Neodiprion lecontei: one gene and its partner. The protein of the gene in region 2 interacts with the protein of the main gene of each other region in a pairwise test. Links are inferred from orthologs where the notes say so. Each region holds a gene or a part of one and is shown on either strand. Other genes may lie near its edges.

Region 1 (4,845 bases), on a different chromosome or scaffold from region 2:
ACTCAATTTTTCTAGTATATACGTAACAAATGAAATTTTTTCTCAGTATACTTTCTTGAATACTCACGCAGAGAACTGGTACCGAAGTATTTTGGCCGCATGCGCCAATTGTCCAAGTTTTCCCCGCGAGCCTGAGGCCGGGTTGACTTTCCATCCTTTCCACAGCCTCTTCTCAGTCGGACGCCTCGACCGGCTTCAAACGATCTTTCGCTCTCACGGCGTCCTTCTCTCTCTCTCTTCTCCGAGTGTCCGTGCCCCAGAATGGCCTCAGCGATTCTCAGCTTGAACGGCGTCTCGACGCCACGGCGCCGCCGGTTTTCTCGGGATCACGGGTTGAGGACCTGCGGACAATATCGTAGGTAGGCGTGAAGGTTTTATCAGTACAATTAGTAACACCTCTGCGCTATACCTGGGACCCGAAACTATCTTTCGCTCGAAATGCTGGAGACTCGAGAAATGATTGAGTTCCGCCCACGACTCGGACAGCAGCTTCACCTACTATAATCCAATCTATGTACCTACACGGATATGATATACCGGTACCCAAACTCAAATTCACTTCGCACCGTACCGTCGTTTGATATTAGTCAATATGTGAGAGGCTGTTGTACGATAAAACGTTTCACGTACCTGGACCAGATGTTTTCTTCTTCTTTTTTTGTTAAATTTATTTATTACCGCGACTTTGTTGCGAAATATAGGAGCAGAGCAAGAAGTGATGAAAGATATTTCTGAAAACTATACGTATACATATATATATGCATATGAATAATCACCGTTATTATACACGTCGGCACTGATTAGCCTCTGATATACTCGATTTTATATCTCTCAATTATAAACTCATACGCACGGTCAAAATTGAGGAGCTGAAAGATACGGAGAATAGAATCGATTTTAGTAGATTTTTACACCTATTGCTCGATATCAATAACCTTATCACTGAACATTGAGGGTGGGCAAAAAAAATACTAGGTACATCGAATTTTTTTAAGCTTTTCAAGACCTGTTCAAAAATGACATCGGTAATTTGACAAACTTCTGATTTCTACTTTTTTTTTTAAATCCACACCGATAAATATCAAGGAAATTCAAGTAAAACTTCCACAAAATGCGCTACATCATCAACAATTTGAGTTGCAAATTTAACTCCATATTATATTGAACTTTGGTATAAAATTTTTAAGAATTTACAATAACTTAAAGACAGTGGAATATTTTGCGCATCGATACAAGAAAAAAAAACAACGTTTTTCATGAATTAAATAATCGTTAGCACTCGACACGCTGAGATTCAGCTGCTAATCAGAATCCTACAAAAAAAAGAATGTGAAACGATTCTCGCTGCTCAAAATCAGAATTTCCCCGCTTCCTCGCGTACTTGGCTTCGGGTATATAACGCGTTAAATCGCGGATGCATGCAGAGCGAAGTACGCGAAACGAGACCGTTGGACAAAGCAGCACTTTCCTGAAAAGGTCGTAAATTTTGGAGTTAACTCAGCGCGTGACCCTCGTGCGAAAACCTGAGGGCCTCTTCGCGTCTGAGCTGAAAATTTGTAGGAGCAGATTCCCTGATTTTCTCCCGCTATCTAAATCTGCCTTACATAAAGCGACTCGCTTAGCCTGGAGGAGGAGATCGCACGCCGAAATGTCGGACCTGTGCGACCCGCGTCTTTATTTTATGCCTGAACGCAGACACTGCGCGATCTCTCGCGAGTTACTAAAAATTATTATCATACTTATTGTCATTTCGTTTTTTGCTTTTTTTTCGAATTTTTTTTTTCCAACTCCCTGTCTCCTTTTCTTGCAACATCGCATTGCTCGGATGCGCTGTCGCGTTTCAGACGGAAAATACAGCGGAACTTAACAAGCTGATGACTATCGGCGCTCAGTGTTTCACATGGGTCATTTATGAATCAGTGACTCGTACCGTGAGAGCTGACACGGGAAACGCTGCACATTCCCAGTTTTTACTAAGGCCTGGATTTTTATTTTTCATACTTGTCAAAATATTTTTTTGTACACTTTTTTTTTCATTTCAACTTCTTCTCCGATGACGCAGGTTTTCGCGCGACGTCACTCGCGGGTATTTTTCATTTCTCAAACTGGAGTCTTCTTCATTCCGTCGGGTTTGCATTTTCAATTACCCGGTTTTTAATCGCTGCGGTCGCATTTTTTTTTGTTTTTTTTTTTCACCGTTTTCATAATTTATTTTCTTGTTGTCGAAGGAAGAATTGCGGATAAGAGAATACTTTTGCCGAAATTAATGGCTCGCTCGTTAGGCTGAATCTTATTATTAAATCTGATAAACACAAACGACCGCAATTCCGGTGGCTTAAACGTTATTAAGACGAACGAAGGACGTCTCTGACTGGAGTTTAACGACGAATAAACCTGCAGATACGATCAGAACGCGACGAATGTTTTACGTTAGGTACGAGCTGCGATATTCAGATTATCATGTAGTGGAACTGATATTTCTTTGGAGTGATTCATCTCTCTATCTGTGTTTACGTTAAATCGTGTATAACCAAAAAGATTACGTGAACATATTTTACTCCAATTCTTTCAACACTTGACTGCGAATTTAAATTAACATCGTATATTACAGAGCAGTAATTAATGCTCCAAATTATTTTATTTGAAAACACTCGTTAATTGAGTTTGCGGTTCAAGTAAACATGTATCGCGGCTTTCGGGTGATTTACGTTCAACTTTAAAGTGACTCAAGAAGATCGTACAATTTTGAAACGATGAATAAAGATCCGCATTGCAGCGACTGGTTATAACTAAATAACACAATATCTCGGTCCAATATATATATATATATATATACATACATGTGTGTACACATACCTGTATGTCGGAGTCAATGGAGACTCGTTCGTCCCATCGTTCGTGACGCCGTCCATATTATCGCGGAATCAACGAATTCACAATATCCGGGATCAAGACCGATTTGTCCGGAGGCTCGGCTCCGACTGCCGTTTCTCTCCGCTCCCGTAATCGGTACCCCTCTTGTTTATCAACAAGTTTCCCTTAATCCCGTGATTGCGACTACGTTTGGTGTTTATGAATAGAAAGTGTTCTTCCTCTTGAGCACAACTGTAAGAATGTCTGTAAGTGTGTTTACATTTTGGAATCTTACGCTTCTGATGCGAAGCCCGTAAGACAGTCAATGACCGTCTAATAATTGAAATGCGGATATGCATTATCAATATTTAACATTAATCACGAGGCCTTTTCATTGTTGAAGATATAAATTTGAAAAACTGGTAAATTCGAAAAATTAACGACGGAGCCAGGAATCGAACCTGGTATCTAGCGATGCTTTACCGGAGCCTTACTCCACTAGACCACCTAGCCGTTTGGTGTTTATCCCGTAACACCCAATTCCGTATGTAGCCCTGCGCATAATAAATCAACTCACAACGGATAACTCTAAGATAATACGGTGTAACGTCAAAGAAGCAGGTACAGCTTTTACTCCGACATATATTTGCAAGACTTTGTACGAGGAAATGAAAAAAGGAGATAAAAAAAAAAACAAATTAAAAAATGTTCAGCCGCACCGAATCCCCGCATCCGTGTATATAATATGGTAAAAAAGAAAATTTCGGCAGTGAGTTGTAGAAGCCAAGCTGGTTATATTCTTAAGGCAAGGACCCCGGCATGTAATGTGACTATTGGTCTGATTTATGGGAATATTTAGTACGTATTTATAGCTAATGGTTAGGCTTCGAGCGGTGTTCGCGATTCTCGTACAACTCTCGAACAACCCGTCCGAGGGACCGGTACACAAAAATCGCGAGGGACCACCGCTTGGTCGAATCTCATTGTGTGTACCTACCTACGTACGAATCAGAATCCTTCGAACTCGTTTATGAAATACCCAACGACTGTTCGGGCAAGGGCTTAACGTCCGTTCCCTTTGAACGATACAGGAAAGGAGTGCTCGCTCCGCCGTGAAACCAAATAATTCTTCCGTTTCGAGGTGAAAATATTTTTTTATATTACGACAAAAGCATTGCGTTTACAGAAATCTCAGATTATATTTTACGACGCTTGCACATTTTTAAAAGTGCAAGATAGTATTTTTACGGAGCGCGATTGGAGGTCCGAATTTTGAAAGTTCCGAAAGCGCCTAGTTTCGAATTAATTTGTGGCGAAACTTTAAATACAGAAATCAAACTCTTACGATACAACAAATTTTCGAAAAGTAAAGTTCCGACAGAGCAAAATTCCGAAAACAACGTTGAGATAGAGTAAGATTCCGAAAGTTGAAATATACTCACGCAGCGCAGTTTACTCTACGAGTCGGTGTAAAAAATCAGAATTACCAGGATTCCAAACGTAAAAATATCGAAAATCCAAAACAAAGAAAGATCAAAGTGGTGAAATTTCACCAAGCCAGAAATTCATAGAACCGAAAATCTTCGATCATTCAGAATCTCGATGTTGCAGGTTTTAAAATTTTCTCATTTTCGCACTTTCGAAACCTTAACGTTTCGTCAAAGTTTGATCTCTTTGCTTCAACCGTCTCCACCAAAAAATTCGAAATTTGTCACTTTCAAAACTTATTAAATTCGGAATTTCAACTCCGCCTCATTCTTACCTCTTAAGAATTACAGACGAAGTTTTCGATGCTGGAATAAAATCTTAGGATGAAATTTGTCTCCGCGAATTAAGTGGGTACATGTATAATATGGCTAAAGGAGAACCGCGTCGATTTGCGTAGCTTTTTTAAATACAACGCGATAAGGTATATTTTCGCGACGGTAGCAGCGGCCGCTGCATCCCGAATCGTGTATATAACCGGTAAATCGATTCTCCCGTAATCTTGGA
Region 2 (6,232 bases):
CGTGCGGCGCCCATGCAACGGAGTTCACAGACGAGTCGTGGGACGCATGTTCATATATCTTGGTCCACTCACCAAGCTCCTTCCAAATTATGACTTTCCTAACGCGAGATAAGTACAGTTTAGATTTTGCTTATTTTTGCATAAGGTCGGAAAACCGTGGAGCAAAAGTATTGAGATCACCAAATTTACCTGTCGTAACTGCAAGATGCCAAGATGTTGCCGAACTTCGGATGAGCCCAGGCAACTTGCCAAACAGGACCGACGTGGCCTTTCAAATCTGCAGCGAGGGTTTGCGTGCCGTTCTTCAGATCGAATATTTTCACCGAATTGTCACTTGAGCAGGTAGCTAACCTCAATCCGTAATAGTCCATTTCGGCATCGTGTATCATGTCCTCGTGGCCCGTGTCCACCGTGTTTAGAACGGAGACCATTTTCAATTATCTCTTCGTTTACCCGCAACGAGTTATTATTTATATTGTTTCTTTCACTATTTTTTGTTGTCGCAAATTGTCCGTTGCAGCGATTGAAGAATAACCACACAACTGATCCAACTGACATACGTGGAATCTGATGAAGTGGACACGCGCTAAAAGGCACCAACATCAGGCAACGAAAAGCATCAGAGTCACCACGAAGTGCTAGGGATTTTTCGTAAAAAGACAACACGTGCCCCACGTGCCTTTCCATTTGTTATGTTATTTTATCTATCGGCGGGATGGTTCAAAATTTGAAGTAGAATACATATTATATACTTTTAATTATGTCGATTGTGATAAATATTATTTTGTTCGTTATTTTTGAACTAGTTATACACTGACTGGAGATTGACAAATACATGATATGGCGTACTGTAGAAGGAAAAAAATAGGTATATTACGACTAAGTAAAACTAGAGTTAGCCCAGGCGGTCCAATCAATACCAGAGAAGAATGAAGACTCTTTGATTTCGGGAATAGATAAACGTTCCTCTGGCTTGTATCGCAATACCTGAACAAGGAGAGTAAGACAATCATATACAAAGGAATTCATTGACTTGAATGCACTGCTTCATTTATTTTGAGAACTAATTAAGTATTTAAACTCTTCAAACTCACATTAGAGATCAATGATTTCACGTTCGCTGATAGTTCTTCAGGAATGTTGAGAATAGAATGCGAGTGATATGGTCCAGGATGTTTAGTTTGGAATTTCTGAAAACAGAAAACATAAACTCAACGAATATCAATTTAAACTATGATAATTGGACATACAATTCCAGTGAAGAGCTCGTAGAGCAGGACTCCGTAGCTCCAAACATCGGCAGCAGTGGAGGGTGGAATTGTTGGTGAGAAGATACAAAGTTCAGGGGCGGAGTAGGGCTTCTTTAGCTGCAAGAGTTCGAAGCTTCGTTTTGGGACAATGTAAGTCATCGCGACATGGCCTCCGCTGCCTAATAATATATTATCTGGTTTTAAATTTCCGACTATGACACCCTGCTGGTGCAGAGATTCCAGTGCCAGGAGTATTTCAGCTGCCCAATATCGGATGGTTCCTTCGGGAAGCTTCCAGAGTTCGTCATCCATTTCAATACCGCTGTCCTCGTTAACGATCGATTGCAATTGGCCAGAATTCATAGTTTCCTCAATCACTCTATGAGAGCCATTGAGTTTTGACGATTCTTTCACTAACTCGTCCTCAACTTTGAAGTTCTTAACAAAATTAGACTTAGAATTTGCCAAAGCTTCGTCTGATCTTTCATTTTTTGCTTTCAGATCTATATTTCCAGATCCAATACCGTGAACACCATCTATGCTGTTACCTTGACTGAGTTTATCGATTTCTGTTACATTTAGGGCCTGAAACTCCCCACCGTGAGCTAAATTTCGAGAATGATCCGGCTTATCTTCACTGTACAGTAAAGTGCCAGATTCATTCAACCTGCTGGCTATTGAATTGCTTTTCTTCAGAGTGGCGTCAACCAATCGCAGAAGTTCTTGGGCTTTAGCGAGTAAGTCCGTGGTTTGAAATGTTTTAACAGGCGCAGCATTGGCTCCAAATTTTGCCTCTAATCTTCTGAGCGATTCATCAGGATCGATCGTCTCCTCTTCTTGCGGATCGAGATTTTCTCTGCTGCCACAAGCTCTGTCTTTCGAAACCTCAGCAAGTCCGTCAATTTTCGGTAACAGTCTTTCCTTAACTCCTAGCTTCTTCTTTTCCAGACTCGACTGAATAATAGCGTCGCAACTCACTGACCTTGTATGCCCTTTCTCTCTCCAATTAGAGACTGTGTTGCGGCCCTTGTAGTACGACTTGATATACTCCCAGAGCTTTCCTCCACTGAAATGTAAGAGCTGAGTCGCATCATCAAAATCAGCAAAGTCATATCCAGTTTCCACTCACCTCGCATAGTGCAGGACAAGAAATATCGTCGAATCCGTTTCTATGCATGCGTAAAGCCGTACCATGAATGGGATTTTGCCACGCAGAATGTAATCGCGGAGACTCCCAAGGCACCCAGCTGGCTTTTGGACTGTCTGGAAAGAGAATTACTAATTGAAACATCGCTGCCCAGATCAAAGCTAGTTCTTATTTATTTTTCAAAATGACGAATAACACAGAGAGCTTTACCTTTATAACTCTATTGCAATCACGCAAAGTGTCTCTGACCAGCATGACCGAGCCTATAACACGTAATACTTTATAATTTCCCAATTCACTAGTAGGCTTGGAAAGCATGCCTACGTTGCAGTTCAGATGCCTGTTGTAAAGCCTCTCTGCCTTCTCCAAATACTTGGATATCTTGTCTCTGATCGTGGCTCTGCGCCCGTAATCAGGGTCAGATTGAACACCATTGAGTAGGTTTGCTATGCCCAATTTATACAGCGTGAATGCTTCCTCGTATTCACACACAGCCTCGTGTCTGAAAGCTGCGCTCATGTGGGTAGCTGATACTAGAATATAACTGCTCAAGTCTTCAGCGGCACCCTCAGGTAAGTCAGATCCATCATGGACTGAAAAGCCATTCGAAGCTTGAAGCGAAGCTGTGAATTTAGGGGCATCATACCTGTCACAGGTTGGCGATTGCCTCTCAAGTTTTTCTTCGTCATTCTTATTATTGATTGGCTTTGTCCCACTTATGTTGACGCCATTCTCACTGACCACGCCAATTTCGTCAATGCAGTTATTGTTCACAGATAAGCTCTGGGAAACATTATCACTCGTCTCAATATCATTGTTGGCTAGTATGATCGTTCTGCCATTTGAAGTCGGAAACTGAGTATTCTGCACAGTGGTTGGAACGTAGCTGGTGCCTCTGAGAGCGGAGTTCAAGTTTGGGTCCTCTTCAGAGGTATCGGAGCCGATGGATGCCGAGCAGTCGGTTAGATAGTCTCTGGCATGTCCAGACTCGAAGAACTTGACAACTACATTGCTTGTAAAAAGTGGAGTGTGCCTTGCTACAAACTCCAGAAGTCTGATTGCACATTGTCGTCGCTCCTCAATAACTTCCGCCTCAAAACGGCCAAAGAACTTGGGCTTTGGGAAAGGTGGGAAGGCCTCTTTGATCCTCAAAGTGTCATGACGGCTGCTCAGCTCCAGGTACAACTTCCTAAAGTCGCTGTATCGCTTCCAAACCGAAACTCTGGACACAGCCTCTGGGGCTGATTTAGGATATATCTGAAAGTAGACGAGCAGCTAAAGGAGAGACTGTTGTTCGAGTAGACTTAAAATTAATAATAGTATATGTACCGACCACTGATGTAACTTTGTACACGGTAAATCCTTTCCTGTGACGCGAAGTCTCATTGATAAGGAACCTTCGTACCCATTTTTCCTTAGATGGTGCCATTTACTGTTATTAGACTTTGAATCGTATAGCACCCAATTATTGACCAGGGCTTCTTTGTTCATGCGAACATTTCATTCGAGCACGGCTCGTGCTTTTCTCTCTGTGTTAACCCAACACTAAACCAGTCTTAAATTACGCGAGTCCAAGTCTTTTTCTGTTATGAACGAAGGTGTCAAAAATGTATCGATTAAGTGTGGTGGTTTGGTGGTATTTCCCACGTGTATATGCATATACATATGCATACTCTATAGAATTTTGAACAGAAACTCTCTAAATTACCCGCACGCCATCTGGTCGCAGGAATTATCCACTGAGTGTTTACCCATGAACTCGGCAACGCAAAAGAAATAAAAGATGGTTCACAGCACTAGGGTTAGTTTCGGAACGCACCCGCAGCAGCGATCAGTAGATTTATCCCCTCTACAGAACGCAACGAGTTTTTTGCGTTCCGCAACGAACTGCATAGCGACCATGAGGCAAGGCGGTTGGAAAACAATGATAAACATCATATACATGCGTATACGTAACCGGCAACAATAAACTTCGATAATTCAAATCGCGTTGTTACAAACAAGTTGTTATACTTTATATTGTCAAATTGAAGTTGAGTTTTATGAATAAAGAACACCCGTTTGGAGGATCTGGCGCTATCCGATCCTCGCCCAGACGGTAAATATGTTTGTTTACGACGTGTTGGACAAGGAGAAGGTTTACCAGATACTGTCAAACGATCTTCGGAATTTGGGGGTTAAACGCCGGATCAAGAAACAGGCGGCGGCGTCTTCTTCAGCGAAGCCGGACTCGGGAGGCGGTCAGTCGCTGAAGACGGTATTCAAGACGAGTTTGGCCCACCTGCCACTCGATGTCGTGAAGCTATCCTCAGGGGCGATCGTCCACGTTCCCCAGTTTGTCACCCAAGCCTGTTCCTACATTGAGAAATACGCCAGCCAGGAGGGAATATTCCGAAAGGCGGGATCCCACCTCCGACAAAAGGAGATTATCGCCCGTCTCGACGGTGGGAGCACCCTGGGTGAGAAGTACCAGGTCGTCGACGTTGCCAATGTGCTAAAAACCTTCTTCAGGGACCTCCCTGACCCCCTGATCCCGCGCATTTACCAGGATGTCTTTCTGCGTTGTGCGCTTCTAAAAAATTCCAGGGTTCAGGCTCTGCTCATAGCGTGTCTGATCCTTCCTCCACATCACCTTAACACGCTCGCCTACCTTGCCGAGTTCTTGAAGCGAATCGCCAGGCTTGAGAGGCAGAACAAAATGGGCATTGATAATCTAGCCAAAGTCATGGGGCCCAGTATTATGCCGCTTCAGGAAACTACCATGTCGGCCGTACAGTCGAGACTGGAAACCCACCTTGTTATAGTAAAGGTGAGAATCTAATTTGCGCAGTCTAAGAGTTGATACTTATTCTGTTACCTCGGCTTCTTAGATATTGATCGAAAATGCTGAGCGCATCGGGGTCCTTCCTGATCACGTAGCAGATCTCATTGCCTCCGAGACTCCGGGCAGTGTTGAAACTGAAATAAATACCTCTGACTCTCTAAACCCATCCAAATACAAGAAAAAAAAACGACGGAGCGGGAGTCTTACACGTAAGCCACATCTAAGCGCCTCCAATCTCAACCTGAGTACGTCTATCCATCTGACTTTATTTTCTCTATACTTGTTTGCGGCAATCAACTTATTTAAGATTATGACTAGTTCAAGATCCCAGCCTTATTTGTTGTCGAAATTTAATGGGGTTGTCTATAAATAATGTATTTGTATGAGATCATGGCTAACTCTTCCTATTCATTTTTTCTAACAATTTTTGTTCTACCAGTGTGATCATGATCATTATTCAGTTTCAAATCTATTCGACGATAAATAGTGCATAATAGTTTTTCTTTAAATCCAAAGGAATGTTGAATGGGTTGAAGAAAATGGTTAGCAAGAGCGGATCACCAGACGCAGCAGCAAGTAGCGGAGTTGTGTCGAGTGAGTTCAGCGCTACCGACACACCTTCGATCAAAACAGGGAAGAAGCGCAAAGTGGCTGAGTCTGCGGCACCGTTGAGTGCAAAGAAAAAGTAAGCAATCGAGTTTAAATAGGCTTTTTTGCAATCGTGTTTTATTATTTTCTTTATCAACGTTCTGGGGGTATTTATTGCGTTTATATTGACTTGCAGGCGTCAAGTACTTCAGACATTGCCTGACGGCGGTTATCCTCGGCCAGAAAACACTATGTTTGCATCCATAATATGTAATGATCCAAAGTATGTAATGGTTAGAGTGTATGGTTTTGATATTACATGCAAAGATTTCTCGTGTTTCAAAATACCCGATATTGAACTTTTATTGTCTGCTTCCGTTTTATTACAGCCCGTACAAAGAAAAGAGTCCCGTTCAAAAGTCC

What was found.
Region 1: the proteins of ribosomal protein S6 kinase delta-1 (region 2) and proteasome subunit alpha type-5 interact in a two-hybrid assay, tested with the Drosophila melanogaster proteins (2 studies listed by BioGRID). The link is inferred for Neodiprion lecontei from reciprocal best matches to the Drosophila melanogaster genes CG7156 and Prosalpha5.

The regions. Positions count from the first base shown.
Region 1 is NC_060260.1:35,498,792-35,503,636, forward strand, and holds the start of proteasome subunit alpha type-5, read right to left. Parts: upstream 3,001-4,845; 5' UTR 2,857-3,000; intron 342-2,856; 5' UTR 155-341; coding exon 68-154; intron 1-67. UniProt on the Drosophila melanogaster protein: The proteasome is a multicatalytic proteinase complex which is characterized by its ability to cleave peptides with Arg, Phe, Tyr, Leu, and Glu adjacent to the leaving group at neutral or slightly basic pH.
Region 2 is NC_060266.1:1,255,534-1,261,765, forward strand, and holds ribosomal protein S6 kinase delta-1, read right to left. Parts: upstream 4,133-6,232; 5' UTR 3,889-4,132; coding exon 3,727-3,888; intron 3,655-3,726; coding exon 2,608-3,654; intron 2,514-2,607; coding exon 2,380-2,513; intron 2,317-2,379; coding exon 1,251-2,316; intron 1,191-1,250; coding exon 1,095-1,190; intron 988-1,094; coding exon 880-987; 3' UTR 739-879; downstream 1-738. Other genes in the region: protein SEC13 homolog, read right to left, coding at 1-98, 190-431; rho GTPase-activating protein 21, read left to right, coding at 4,502-5,206, 5,268-5,466, 5,738-5,906, 6,006-6,092, 6,199-6,232.